2 linked regions of the Drosophila melanogaster genome follow. The protein of the gene in region 1 interacts with the protein of each later gene in a pairwise test. Each region holds a gene or a part of one and is shown in the gene's direction. Other genes may lie near its edges.

Region 1 (9,392 bases):
ATTTAGATTCAGATTCGGATTCGAATTCATCTCATCTCATCTTATGGGCTGCTCAGATACTCGTGCATTTCACATCCAACTGCTTGAGGGCGCCACCATCCGAAAGATTCCCATCTATCTCAATTTACTTTCACGTGCTTCAAGTGCAACTCTCGACAAATTAAACGGCGCAAAGTGGCACCCACCAGAAAGACACATCGCATCTCCCGAACCCAAAAACCCCAATCCAATACAATTAAATACAATCCGCCATACGCCATTCCGAACCCATTCCCAATGTCAGTTCGAAGCCGTTAAGTACTTTTTACCCGCCAAGTGCCGTTTCTCGTTTTGTAAACGAAATTATAATTGTTTTTCCGCTTGTTTTTTGTTTTTTTATGTTAATATAATATCATTTAAATGGTTCCGTCTGCCTTTGTTTTTTTGTTTCTTTGCCTGTTACATAAAGTCACAAGAGATACAATATAATAATTAGTATCTGTGCACGCCGAGGTGTAGATGGCAGCCAGTTGGTAGCTGACTCTTAAATGTTATACCTACATATGTTTGTTTGTGGGGGGGGGGGGGGGTAGATTTGGGGGAACTGTGTTACTCGGTTGAGGCCACGGAGAAAGCAGAAAGATGAATGGCTGAATGCGACGCTGATTATATGGCTCAGAATCGCTGTGGCATGGCGAATTCATTAAGATCTGGCAATGTGCCATGCATAATTCGCATAATGGCCCGGCTAGCAGAATGTATCCGCCCTATGGGAGGTTTTCCCAGAATGCATAATGTAACTGCGAATTTGCAGTTGGAAAATGACGTAAGTAATATCAGCCAGTGCCCAGCCTGTAGCTCATACAGCGTTCAACAATAATAATAATATCACCAAGTATGATTTCAACAGTACATATCCATGTACTTCAAAGTGGGCAATGTATCTGCAGGATATATATCTTACATTAAAGTGCAATCTCAAATATATATTATTTTTATAAAAATCACAGAGACTTTTTTACACGTGTATCATGTTTATTCCACCAGTAGTCATTAAATATTTATTGAACAAACACTGGAACAAGTCACTTATGTGAAATCTAAAATTTATATTTAATATTTGAGATCCCAATTTTTCGTTAGTCTCACAGCGTCATAAGAAACATTTTTATGTTCCTATTTAATTATTCGGATTGGCCATACTTTCGTGTTCACCATTAAGATAGCTTTGTAATTATTTATTTTCTTTAATTTCAGTTCATTATGAAGTTAATCTTTTACGATCCTTGGTTACGTTACAAAATACCAATAAAGTTGATGCATTAGTTTTAAGCACAATTAATGGTATAAATGCAATGTTCGCATTTCTCAAGCTGTATTTCAGCTATATACTTTTACATTTCTCTAAAAAATATCTATATTATCTTCTGGCAAAAATAATGGGTCAAGGGTGCCTCGAGGCATAAATTGCGGAAATATTTGCACCGGAAAAACTCCAAAAATTGCCCTAGGACGCGGCGTAACCACTGATGAACCTGCACCTGTTCCATCTTTGTGAATTCAGCATATTTTACCGCGACCAACGAATGATGATGATGACGATGGGTTTGAATGTGAAAGATGAGCGTGGAAAATTAAGGAAATGCAATCCGTGGACAGGGGAGCAAGTGCAGCCGCTGCTGCAGATGAACAACAAAATCAACACAACCTGCCATTTGGCTAACGGCATTATAAATGATGCCATAGAGGAAAAGTGACAGTCTCTGTCTCTGTGACTCTCCTCCAGTTGAGTCTCTCCAACTGTTGCAAGTTGCAGTTGCAATACTGCTGCTGGGTATCTTACTCGGTGCCTGGGTCTACGGTTTACGGTGTCGTCCTCCGTTTGGCGCCACTGGTCGTCACTGATTATGCCATTTCATAAAGCAAAATTCCGGCAGCGATTGTGCAGGAGTGGCCCCAAAATGCGGCCAAGGATCGCTTGCAACCGATGCAAAAATGCTGATTGCCATTTATAGATTATGTGCATAAATCAGGAAAAAAGCTAGCTATTACTTTGGGGGCTATGAGCCATGGAAAAGTTGCAAAACATTTTGCCAATCATAATTTTATCCATCACTCTTCTCTAACGCTAATTGTCATGGCCGGGGCGTAAATTATTAAATAAGAAAAGCAACCCAAAAACAACACTAAAACTTGCCAGAGATAAAAAAAAAAACAAATTGAAGAAATTCAAAATATTGCAAAAACAAAAAAACCAGAGGAGAAAAATTAAATAAAATGCCTGTACAGATGGGTCGACCCAACAAGAGCGTGAAGCTCATTATGAAGCTTCGTGTCCAAAACGCGGACAGCAATTACAAAAGCAACATAGCCAGTAAAACAATAACAATAACAGTAACAATAATAATAACAACAAGCCAGGCCAAGTCAACTCAAGCCAACACACAACACAACCCAAAACACCGAAAGAAGCTGGCTAACAAAAGGCCGAAAGAGCATGAAGAAATGAAATAAAACCAACACCAGATTCAGTCCCACTCCAGAGCACAAAACAAAGCTTAGCCCCATCCCATCTGATCCCAAACCATACCATACCATACTATACCAACCCATTCCCCAAAACGGCTGGCTAAATGAGAGTGAATCCACATTCATTGAAATTGAAAGTGAATCGTGCCACACGATCCGATCCAGAGTCCAGACTTGGTTACGAGTCCACTGCGATTGGATCCTCTAAATGACCAAAATAACAATTTACACACATTAGCTACATATATATAATAAAGCACATATATATATATATTTATATATAAATAACAGAAATCAGAGATTTTAGGAAAAACCATGTTTCTTTGGCAATCAGTTCGAAGGAGTTGTACTCTACAGCGAATCTATACAAATGTTTTAAATGGGCGAGGGAAAAAAATGCACAAGACATATTTATAAATTAAATATTACAAAATATGACTTGCCTTTAATAATTAAACTATCTAAGCTAAGAGAGGCATTTTCTTTTAATGATAAAAGAACAAAAGGCGTGATAAATTAATAATAAGAGAACAGATATTCTCAGATATTCTTAAATTAAGCAGGAAATCGTTAAAGCTGAGGTTACCGCAAAAAAGGCTTTTATTTTCTTGCCTTGAAAATAATGGACCCTTGAAATAAGCTACATTCCAGCAGCTAAGTGTCTTCAGAAATAAAAACCATAAAAAACTATTTGATGGCCTTGCTGCCTCAAGCTTTATTTTACATACATACACTGCACCTTTCAGGTTCCTTATTTTCCCCATGAAAATAATCCTAGTTGGGCAGAAAAACAGAAAAAAAAAAACAACCAACCACATGCTCGAAAAACCACGAAAAAGAAGTAGTTAATCGAAGGAGGAAAGCCAAAGCCAAGAAACGGTCAGCAGACGTTGCAGTTTCGGTTGGCTTTGCGGTCGCCGTTTGCATCGCAGCCAGGAGCTGCAGCCTCAGTTTCCCCACCAGATCATGACTGGCCAAACTTTGGACTTGGCTTAAACATTTCAATTTCTTCATGGCTACATGCTGCTGCCGCTCTTTGCCAACTGCTCAGCCAACTTGGCCGACTGCTCGGTCGACTGCGGCAGCAGCTGAGGCAGCTGAGGCGGCTAAAGCAGCAGCGGTCTTGATCGTCGTCTTGAATTTTACTTAATTTTTATTTCACGCGCTGCGCTGCTATAAAAGAAACTGCAACAATCGTTGTGGCATGCAGTAAGAGGTTCCGCGTCGAAGCAGCACCACATTGCCAGTAACCAGTAACCAGTAACAGCCAGTAGCACCTAGCCACCTGGAGCAGTGACAAAACCCGAAACGGATATACCCGAAATAAGCCACCCGAAAATGCATTCCAGTTGTGTGGTATGATCTTGTGACCAAACCGACCAAGTGGCCGTGATGGACATCGCTTAATGGTGTGTTCTCCTCCGATCTCGTTCGCAGTTAGTGGTCCTCATGGCCCTGGCTGCCCTGGTGGCCGCTCGTCCAGAGCCGCCTCGTGACTCGTACAGTGCGCCCCCCTCCAGCAGCTACCAGCCAAGTGGACCCAGCGGAGGCTACGGCGCCCCTGCGCCCCAGTACGGACCTCCCCAGCAGGCGCCGGTGATTCACAAGCACGTCTACGTCCATGTACCTCCACCAGAGCCGGAATACCAGGCACCCAGGTGAGTGGCAGGATCAAGGATCCTCTAAGCCAACATAAGTTCCAAAGATCGCGAGTAGAATAGGGTTCCCAATAAACCTATTCTTCAACCAAGTTCCGGAAAAGGATCTATGCATACTCGTTTAAAATTTTTGTCTATACTAGATGATAATTATATCAGACCTAAAAATGGAAAAAATCTTTAAAAATGTTATTTTAGACACATTCAGTTTAATCACAAAAGATACGTATTTAAGAGTTTAAGTAATAGTAAAATTATTTATTTTGCATAGTTTCACAAAATAGAAATCGCACTACACTCCCAACACAGTGAGTGAGTGAACAATCGAGAATTTCTTCTGATAAGCCGTACAATATAAACGTACATCCTGCGGTTTTTTTCATTTCACAACGTAATCAGTTCAAATTATTCACACCCCTTATCCAGCACACTTTTTTTTCGACTTGCGTGATTGTGAGCGGTTACAAACGATCTCGCTTTATTTGTCTTGTTCCACTTAAGATTGGAAAAATATGGGGAAAAAACACATTGTTGTGTTATGAGTATATAATCCAAGGCACTTATGCAGATTCTCTCACAATTCATCGGCGTAAACCAGGCAGTGCCGTCAACTCCCAAAGATAATAACTAGACAAATGTTGCAAGAGACCAGCCGGCAATCATCTAATCCAGCTCAGGGCCCTTTTCCACAGCTGTTGCCACATTTCCAGGGTATTTAGAGGGTCGCTTAAACGGAGGAGGAACATTATTTAATACCCGCGAAAACGAAAGCCATCCAACTTTCCTCTCTTTTCGCTGATACAATGTTTTCTGTCGTCTTCTGTCTGTTTTCAATTGGAGTTGGAAGCGATGTTAATTACCACGAGAGGGGAATGATATGGCTTTGCAGACCGCCAAACCGTGACTAAAACGTTACCTAAGCTCGCCGCAGCACTTGTACTCGTATATATCTCAGTACCATTTCCAAGCAAATTATCAGGCGCAGAGGGACAGGAACTCGATTACCATAGGTAGCTTTATGTAAACCCTCGTCTCGAGGCGGTTGTTGTGACAATCGCTGTCATCGTCACAATAGTCATCATCTTCATCTGATTAGTAAAACTGACAAGCAGCTGCAGTGGGTTCAACGTTGTCGGGAGGTCACCATTTTCGGGAGGTCACCATTTATGGGCATGCCATTTGCATGCACCTCAAAGAGAAACTCCTTTCTCCCGCATCGCGGTATTTGTTCGTTCAACAAGGCAAGGTTATAGGAAGTGTGGAAAGTCATTCCAGCCTGGCCGTGTGTAATTGAAATTTTTTTATTCAGTATGTAAATTTTTACAAGCCGGAAGCAAAAAAAGTTGCGTTATATGAGGATGTGGTGTCTTACTTTACCCATAGAATTCCTAAGAAATTCCTTAAATACAGATATAGCAGAACCTTTATTTAAATACATTTTTAAATATTTTCCCAGGAAACCCCTTTACGTGCCACCTCCGCAGAAGCACTACAAGATCGTCTTCATCAAGGCGCCATCTCCACCAGTACCGACCGCCCCTGTAATACCGCAGTTCCCACAGAACGAAGAGAAGACCCTGGTGTACGTGCTAGTCAAGAAGCCGGAGGAGCAGCCGGAGATCATTATCCCAACGCCAGCTCCCACCCAACCCAGCAAGCCGGAGGTGTACTTCATCCGCTACAAGACCCAGAAGGAGGAGACCGGACCCTATCCCAACAGTGTGGCGCCTCCAGCGCCCGAGTACGGAGCTCCAGCTGCCCCGCCCGCACCCTCTGCTCCCAGCAGCTCGTATGGGGCACCATCCCACTAGGCGATCCAGTCCAACCCGAATACCGATTTGCTTATCTCAACCCAACTCATGGCAAACTGCATATCTTATGTGTATTGTATTATTTTCTGTTTCAAGGACCTTAACGCGTGACAAAGTTTACCAAGCAACGAATCTCCCCCATCCCCTCTCCACACCCAGCTCATAGGATTATTACTCCTATAGATGAGTAATTCTTATCTCTGATGTTGTTTCTACCTGATGTACGAGAAGTATGTTTTCCATCTAGGCTGTTTGTTTCAAATTGTTTGTTTAGTCTTAAGTCTAGGTCTTTAAGCGAACGATGCGTTATACACTCACACAAAACACTCGAAACACTCACTGCGAGCTAGCCTTAGTTATCGATAGAGATATCGATCCTGATACCGATTAACGATATATACGTGGTACATGATTTTCATCACAAACGCATTTTCAAGTAGGCAATTTATTCCAATTTCATATTGCACATTTCGCACACGATTTGTCATTAAATAGAATGTGCGAAGCACTCGAAATGCAACAAAAAAAAATGAAGATTAAAATGATACTCAAGTATATAATGTTAAAAACACAAAACATCAATGGCTAAATAAAAGTTTAACGAATTATCTGTACAAGATGGATTTCTTTTTGTATGTTTCACATTGCAAGTCTTAACATATGTGTACATATATTTATATATATCTGTTTACTATACATTTTCATTTGCCTCGCAAATGTATTTGAAATCAGAAGTACAAGAAGCAACCCACATGCCACCGTTATGTATAGAAACGCAACGCTGATCTACATGTTCGTATAGTGGCTCTCCAGGATTCCATTTCAAAAAAGGTGCTCTCTTTCCGGAGGACACAGATATGAAAACGCCCTTTTCAGCCAGATCACTAATGCCAATCATATAAGTGTTGTCTTTGCTTAGTTGCGAAACGATAGCATTAAAGTCTGCTTCATTTATAATTGAGGCTAGATTACCTCCCATCTTTTGACATGCGCTCAAAGCACTGGTCCAATTTTGTTGGACTATGTCTTCGATGTGCAAATATCTCGATCCGATTCGCTTGAACCTATGTAAAATATTTATTTTCGCAGACATATTCTTCAGCGACGTCGTTATACTAGTCAATGCTTCCTGTAGGTCAGATAGTTGACCCTCCATCTTAAGTTCTGACCTATTGGTTCTGTTCTCGATATCCTCTGCAATGATCTTCTTCCACGATTCCGTTAGCGATGTCTTCTGGCTTTCAATTTCTTTTTCAATATCCCTCTGTTGGGCCTGTATTTCTTGCAACTTGCAGGTTTTCCACTGTTCCTGGTGCTGGGCAATGTGACCGATCAATGGCATCAGCGCTTCGAGGCTTCGACACGATCTGTCTCCTCGCATCCTGAAGGTGATGCATTTATAACTATTGCGATAATTGCGTAATATAGGAGAACTTTCAGCTGGAACATGCTTAGCAAATTGAACCTCTTTAGACGAACGTTTATAATGCACTAAATGTGAATTCCTATGCTGCAGTCTGAACAGCAGCGCAATATTGTTGATAAGAATTTATAGATATAATATATATTTTACTGGAAAAATAAATATCATGCTAAGTATTTTCAGCTTACGCTAAAAATAAAAAATAATATAAGCTATAGTGATAATTATGACAACAGCGCAATATGAACAGCAGCGCAATATTGTTGATAAGAATTTATAGATATAATATATATTTTACTGGAAAAATAAATATCATGCTAAGTATTTTCAGCTTACGCTAAAAATAAAAAATAATATAAGCTATAGTGATAATTATGACAATACTTGGATTGAAATTATATATAAAAGCATATCATGAAAATATATTAAACAGTAGTACAGATAAGCAGGAACTTTTATGTTAAATATAGTTTAACGATTTCTTATTTTCATTGCATGTTAATGAACTCAAGATTCAAACTACAACGCCGTTGGCGTTGCCACGTTATGTTCGCCCGCCAGATGGCGCCGCAGCTAGCCTCCAAACTGTACGCAAGTGCTTCTCAAACTTTTTATCTCCATTCACCGAACTTGAGCTTTGTTTCGTTTATTTGCTTGCGTTTTATTTTCTTTGGCGCTTGGATTGCATACAATTTGATTTGCTCGATGCGGAAAAACGATTTTCACGGAATTTCCCTTAAGTATTAAGATAATTAGTAGCGAAACACCTTAAAACGGATTGGATTACAGCCCTTTTCCCGCAGCCACCTTAATAACAATCAGCCGGGTCCACTTTAATTGACCCGTTACCGTTGTCCACTTGGTGAAAAAAAATGGAAAAAAAGTAGAGGTAAATCCGTGCAAGCCCCATCCATTCCGGTGCACACATGCTTTTAAACCCGAACACACACTCAACAGCTCCTTCACGAGCCTGCCAAATGTAAGCGAACTTAAAAACACATCGTTTGCATTTGGCCCCTCTGCCCACCACTCACCCATCCCCATCCACGAAAAGCCCCATCATCACCTCACGCCCACTCTGCCCCCTGAAAAAGCCCCCTCCATCAGCAGAAACTCCAAGCGGCACTTAAGTGACGCTCCAGCAGCTCAACTATCACCATGTCCATATTCCTTTTATTCCAGGTACTCACGCAGAAAAAAGGTATATTGTATTTGTACTGTTGCATCCCAGAGGCGGTAAAAGCTATGGATTTCAATCTTTGAATGCTAACGCCTGCACTTTTAACTCAATTTTTGGGGATAACCAACTTTTAAGTATTTATAAAAAAGATTTTGTTATCTATTTCTTAAGCTATATATTCTTTTAATAGTTTAGTAATAGTGTTTAAAAATATTTAACAATGAGACCATACTTTATAAATTTTTTTTTTTTTTAAGTAAAACATATTTTTTGTATAATACATTACATTATTGTTTTAAGGTAAAGAAATAATGGTTACTAGCGTTTAAAGATCGAGTGACCATGGACATCTTCTAGTAAAGACGAGGTATCACTCTATTTTAATGTTCCTGGCCAGTGAGCATTTTGACGTCTACAATATAAACATCATTTACGCTGTTCCTTTTGTTTTAGCCTCGCTGATTTTGTTTACCTGAGCCTCAAAGCCACTGTCGTTGGCCGAAAGCAAGAGATTTTCCGAAAGAGAGTGAAAGAGTGAAAGTCCGACTACCCTTGGGGTCAGCAATGTGGCGTTACCATACGCGATTCGCTCTTTCTTCTGGCACGCCTGCGCCAAAGAGAGGCGGAAAACTCTTGGGAAATTCAGGCCCAGACCGAAGACCAAAACCGAAACCAAAAACCCGACTTCAGTTGCCATTGTAATGCCAACGCAATCGGCACGCGTTTGGCTTTCGCGCCTGGCGGGTTTTTTATTTATTATTCGCTAAAGTGACAAGCCAATACAAAAGAAAAACAACAAAGCTCGCTGAGAA
Region 2 (3,950 bases), on another chromosome or scaffold:
CTTTGGGGTTGCCGCTGCAGCTGCCGGAAGATTATCTGGCCCACGGTCAGCTCCTCGTTGTAGAGACTGTGCCGGCTGCAGCCACTCCAGACCTTCTGAACGGGATCATAGCTGGTCGCGGGATTGCCATTGAGGTCCAACATCGTGATGCACGCGCGTTTTATGACTGCTGCATACTCGCCTGCCGGGTCTATTTAAAGGTCAACGAAATTGGAAAAATTAGCCGGCAATTTAGCAGTTAAAGTGTCCGGATATTTAATTTTACCTATTGATTGCCAAGCTGTTCTCTTGACACGATATCAGCGATGAAAACCGTTTGGCGAATCAGATGATTATCAAACCTAGGTCTCGACAGCAGTTATTTGCTATTAAGTAAAAGGTCTTTTAAGATCAAAAAATTCTAAGTGCTAAGATTCGTTTCTGTTTAAAACTCTGGCGTATACATGCGCTGCAAAACAAATAGTTTTTTAGTTTTAGCTTACTAATTTTGAAAGAAATTAAAAATGCTTATTCATTTTAATCAAATACCTTTTTTATTTTTAGAGTATGTTAAAATATATTGGCGGGAATTTGGTGATGCGCCACCTACTTGCATGTTTTCAGAACTATGTATAAATGTTAACATAACATGTTAAACATTACATGTTATCTATCTACTTCTAAATGTATCTACATGCCATGTTATATGCGTTTATATGTATCTACATGACATGTTATACATTCGACATTTTTATGACATCTCATTGGCTTTCGTAACATAGATCTTCAAAACAATTTTCTTTTTAAATCAAATATGCCAAAAGGGGAAAATGTGTATAAATTAAATTTTTAATGTGCTGTACATCCCTTCGGTTTACTATAAAAAGTTTGCCATCATTTTTATGCCTTTAGGGTTTACCAAAGGTAAACTTTCAACAAAGCTGATACCGTAACCCCAAATTCATAAAGAAAGTGGTAAAAAATGTCATATCACAATTTAAAAAAAAAAGCTTTAACAAGAGCAACCCAGTAATAATACGCTCATCCCGAAGATGCAATTCAACGCAGCTCGCAGTCACCGCGTAATTCAAGATAAAAATGATTCTCAGTCAGATAAAAGCAGATCGGAACGAAGTTCGCTAACGCAGAATGATTTGCCATAAACTTCATGGGACCAAGGACATAAAGTTAGGCTGATATATCATAGCATGGGATTTGATGATAAGCATCTGGCAAAGAAGTTACCAGCAAAAGAACATGTCTCATGGCTTATACGAGGCAAGGCAATCACGTAGATGGATACTAGAGACGTGTGTGTAAATATCGTAAAATGATTTGCCACGACTTTATAACCAAATAACTTACATGATATGTTAATAAATAAGTTGATAAAATAATGACGTATAAGATACGGGGATACGAGAAAACATATTGTACTACTGGCTATGAAGATAACACACTAAACAGTTCCCACGAGATCGCGGCAAAATCTTTTTGACCTGTCCGAACCAAAGACGGTATCTTGAATTTTATAACATTTATATGGTATTTGTATTTCTATTTCCTCTGCCACACGAACTTTTTATCTAAGTGTGATAAGCTATTGGATGGCTGCGACTATTAAAAGGGATTGTAGTTGCGAATCTGATACAGTTGAAATCTGTCTTTACCAGACACACAAAGTTTGCCTACTTACAGAATGCCGTACACACCAGAAAATTCCTACGATAATGATCAAAAGATCTGGAGCGGTGAGCCGGTTGTCAAATACTTCGATCCGGACTTGTCCATCGGAGAGATAATTTTCCACGAGATGCGGCGGCATCCGCAGCTTACTGCCCAGGTGAGTACATTAAAAGTCACCCACTAAACAAATGATTCATCATGATTTCTTCTAGATCTCTGCTACGGAGGGTACTGTGTTGACCAGAGGGGAGCTCCTTGCCAACGCCATGCGCTTGGCCAGCTATATGCGATCATTGGGACTCCTTCAATCCGATATAGTGGGCCTCATAGGCCGGAATACCACCCACATGCTTGCCGTAGCCTACGCCTGTTTCTTCAACGGAATAGCTTTTCACTCACTCAACATTACATACGATCGCGATACGATCGAAAAGATCTACAAGGTCACAAGGCCTTCTATTATTTTCTGCGATGGAGATGAGTTTGAGAAGGTTCGATCTGCCACTGCAGAACTGGATGTTAAGATTGTCACCATGCGCAATCATCCGTTGGATTCCATAAAGATCGATGAAGTTGTGGCCACGCCCATCGAAGAAAACTTCCAGCCAGCTAAGCTGGAAAAGGGCAACGATCAGACTTTGGCCATTCTCTGCTCTTCGGGAACAACTGGTACTCCAAAGGCAGTAACTATAACTAACAGTCGGCACATCCTCGCAGGCAACTAGTAAGTTGTTTATACATATTATTTGGAATGATTTTAAAGTTTGCTTCCTTTTGTACCACTAGTCATCTGACCACCGCTGATGTTCAGTACTCTCACAACACCCTTGACTGGATCACTGGTTTGCTTACCACCATTACCTCCGGAGTGTTCAGCACTACCCGCATCATTGCGGACAATGCCTTCGATCCCGCCTTTGCCTTGCGAATCATCGAAGAGTACAAGGTTACGTGGACCATACAGCCACCATCATCTATGGCTCTAATGATTAACTGCCCAGATTTCGAGACGTGCGATCTGTCGAGCCTACGGTGCTACATGTTTGGAGGATCTCGGGCTGCCTTGGAGGTTCAGAAAGGCATCCGTAGCCGTCTTAGCCATAATTGCCTGCAGTTTGTTTATGGATTTACAGAACTGGGTGCCATGGCCACCATCAACTGTCACTTCGACGAGAAAACCGGATCGGTGGGTCAATTGGTCAATGGGCTAAAGATGAAGATAAAAAATGATGACGGCGAATCGCTTGGACCCGATGAGATCGGAGAGGTGTGCATCATGAATAACCAGCACTGGTCGGGATACTACGGAAACGAAGTTGAGACTCGTAACATGCGAGATTCACTGGGATGGTATCACTCCGGGGACCTCGGATACATGGATCGAGATGGCTTCTTGTACATTATGGACCGAAAGAAGGAGATGCTGAAGTACCAGAACATCATGTACTATCCAAACGATATTGAAAGCGTCATCTCAGAGATGCCCCAGGTCGCCGAGGTCTGTGTCTTCGGGATATGGAGCAACATCTTTGGAGACGAAGCTGCTGCTGCTGTTGTTAAGAAACTGGGCAGTGAGCTGGAGGCCCAGGATGTGGTGGACTATGTGAGGTCTCGGACTGATTCCAAGTACAAGCAGTTGAACGGAGGAGCCGTCATTGTGGATGACCTACAGCGTAGTGCCAATGGAAAGACCAATCGAATGGCCAACAAGGCCCACTTTTTGCATTTAAAAAATAGGAAAAATATATTACTTAGTCAAATTAATACATAACACTATTAAAAGTTAAAGACACTGCCATTTTTGTGTATTCTTTCATTTCGTTTTGCATCATTTATTTATAAAATTTCACAAACGTCATTACTTCGTTTTTATCCTGGTTTGCATTCTAGGATTTCCTTCCTTTCGGGTGGCAACAATAATTTCTACTATATTGTAAAATTGTGCTACTATGTAACAATTTCGAGCATCCCCTAAACAAATCAAGTCAAAGTGTTGCGGTGTGTGTCAGTTTGTGTATAGTTTAGTATAATTATTCATAACATTATCTACTATGCAGTCACTCTTGATCAATTTAACTTACATTTAACTAGAATTTCGTCATTCATCAAACATTATTCTTTATTTGTTTAGTGGAAGTGCCATGGAGCCTTGCCGGATACCGTTCTTAACTTATCTGCACTGTTCCGAGACATAACCATAAATGTAGCATGCGGCACATAGCCGGTAGCATACAGCGATATCGCAACGTATCCCTCGGTATAATTAGTTAATTTCGTATTAGATT

The links. The genes of interacting proteins can lie anywhere in the genome.
Region 2: the proteins of TwdlE (region 1) and Acsx1R interact in a two-hybrid assay, tested with the Drosophila melanogaster proteins (one large-scale study listed by BioGRID).

The regions. Positions count from the first base shown.
Region 1 is NT_033779.5:7,855,155-7,864,546, reverse strand, and holds TwdlE (TweedleE), read left to right. Parts: upstream 1-3,707; 5' UTR 3,708-3,846; coding exon 3,847-3,864; intron 3,865-3,945; coding exon 3,946-4,166; intron 4,167-4,426; exon of another isoform or gene 4,427-5,622; coding exon 5,623-5,977; 3' UTR 5,978-6,590; downstream 6,591-9,392.
Region 2 is NT_033777.3:19,774,959-19,778,908, reverse strand, and holds Acsx1R (Acyl-CoA synthetase X1 R), read left to right. Parts: upstream 1-1,628; 5' UTR 1,629-1,678; coding exon 1,679-1,822; intron 1,823-1,877; coding exon 1,878-2,389; intron 2,390-2,451; coding exon 2,452-3,436; 3' UTR 3,437-3,450; downstream 3,451-3,950. Other genes in the region: Acsx2 (Acyl-CoA synthetase X2), read right to left, coding at 1-143.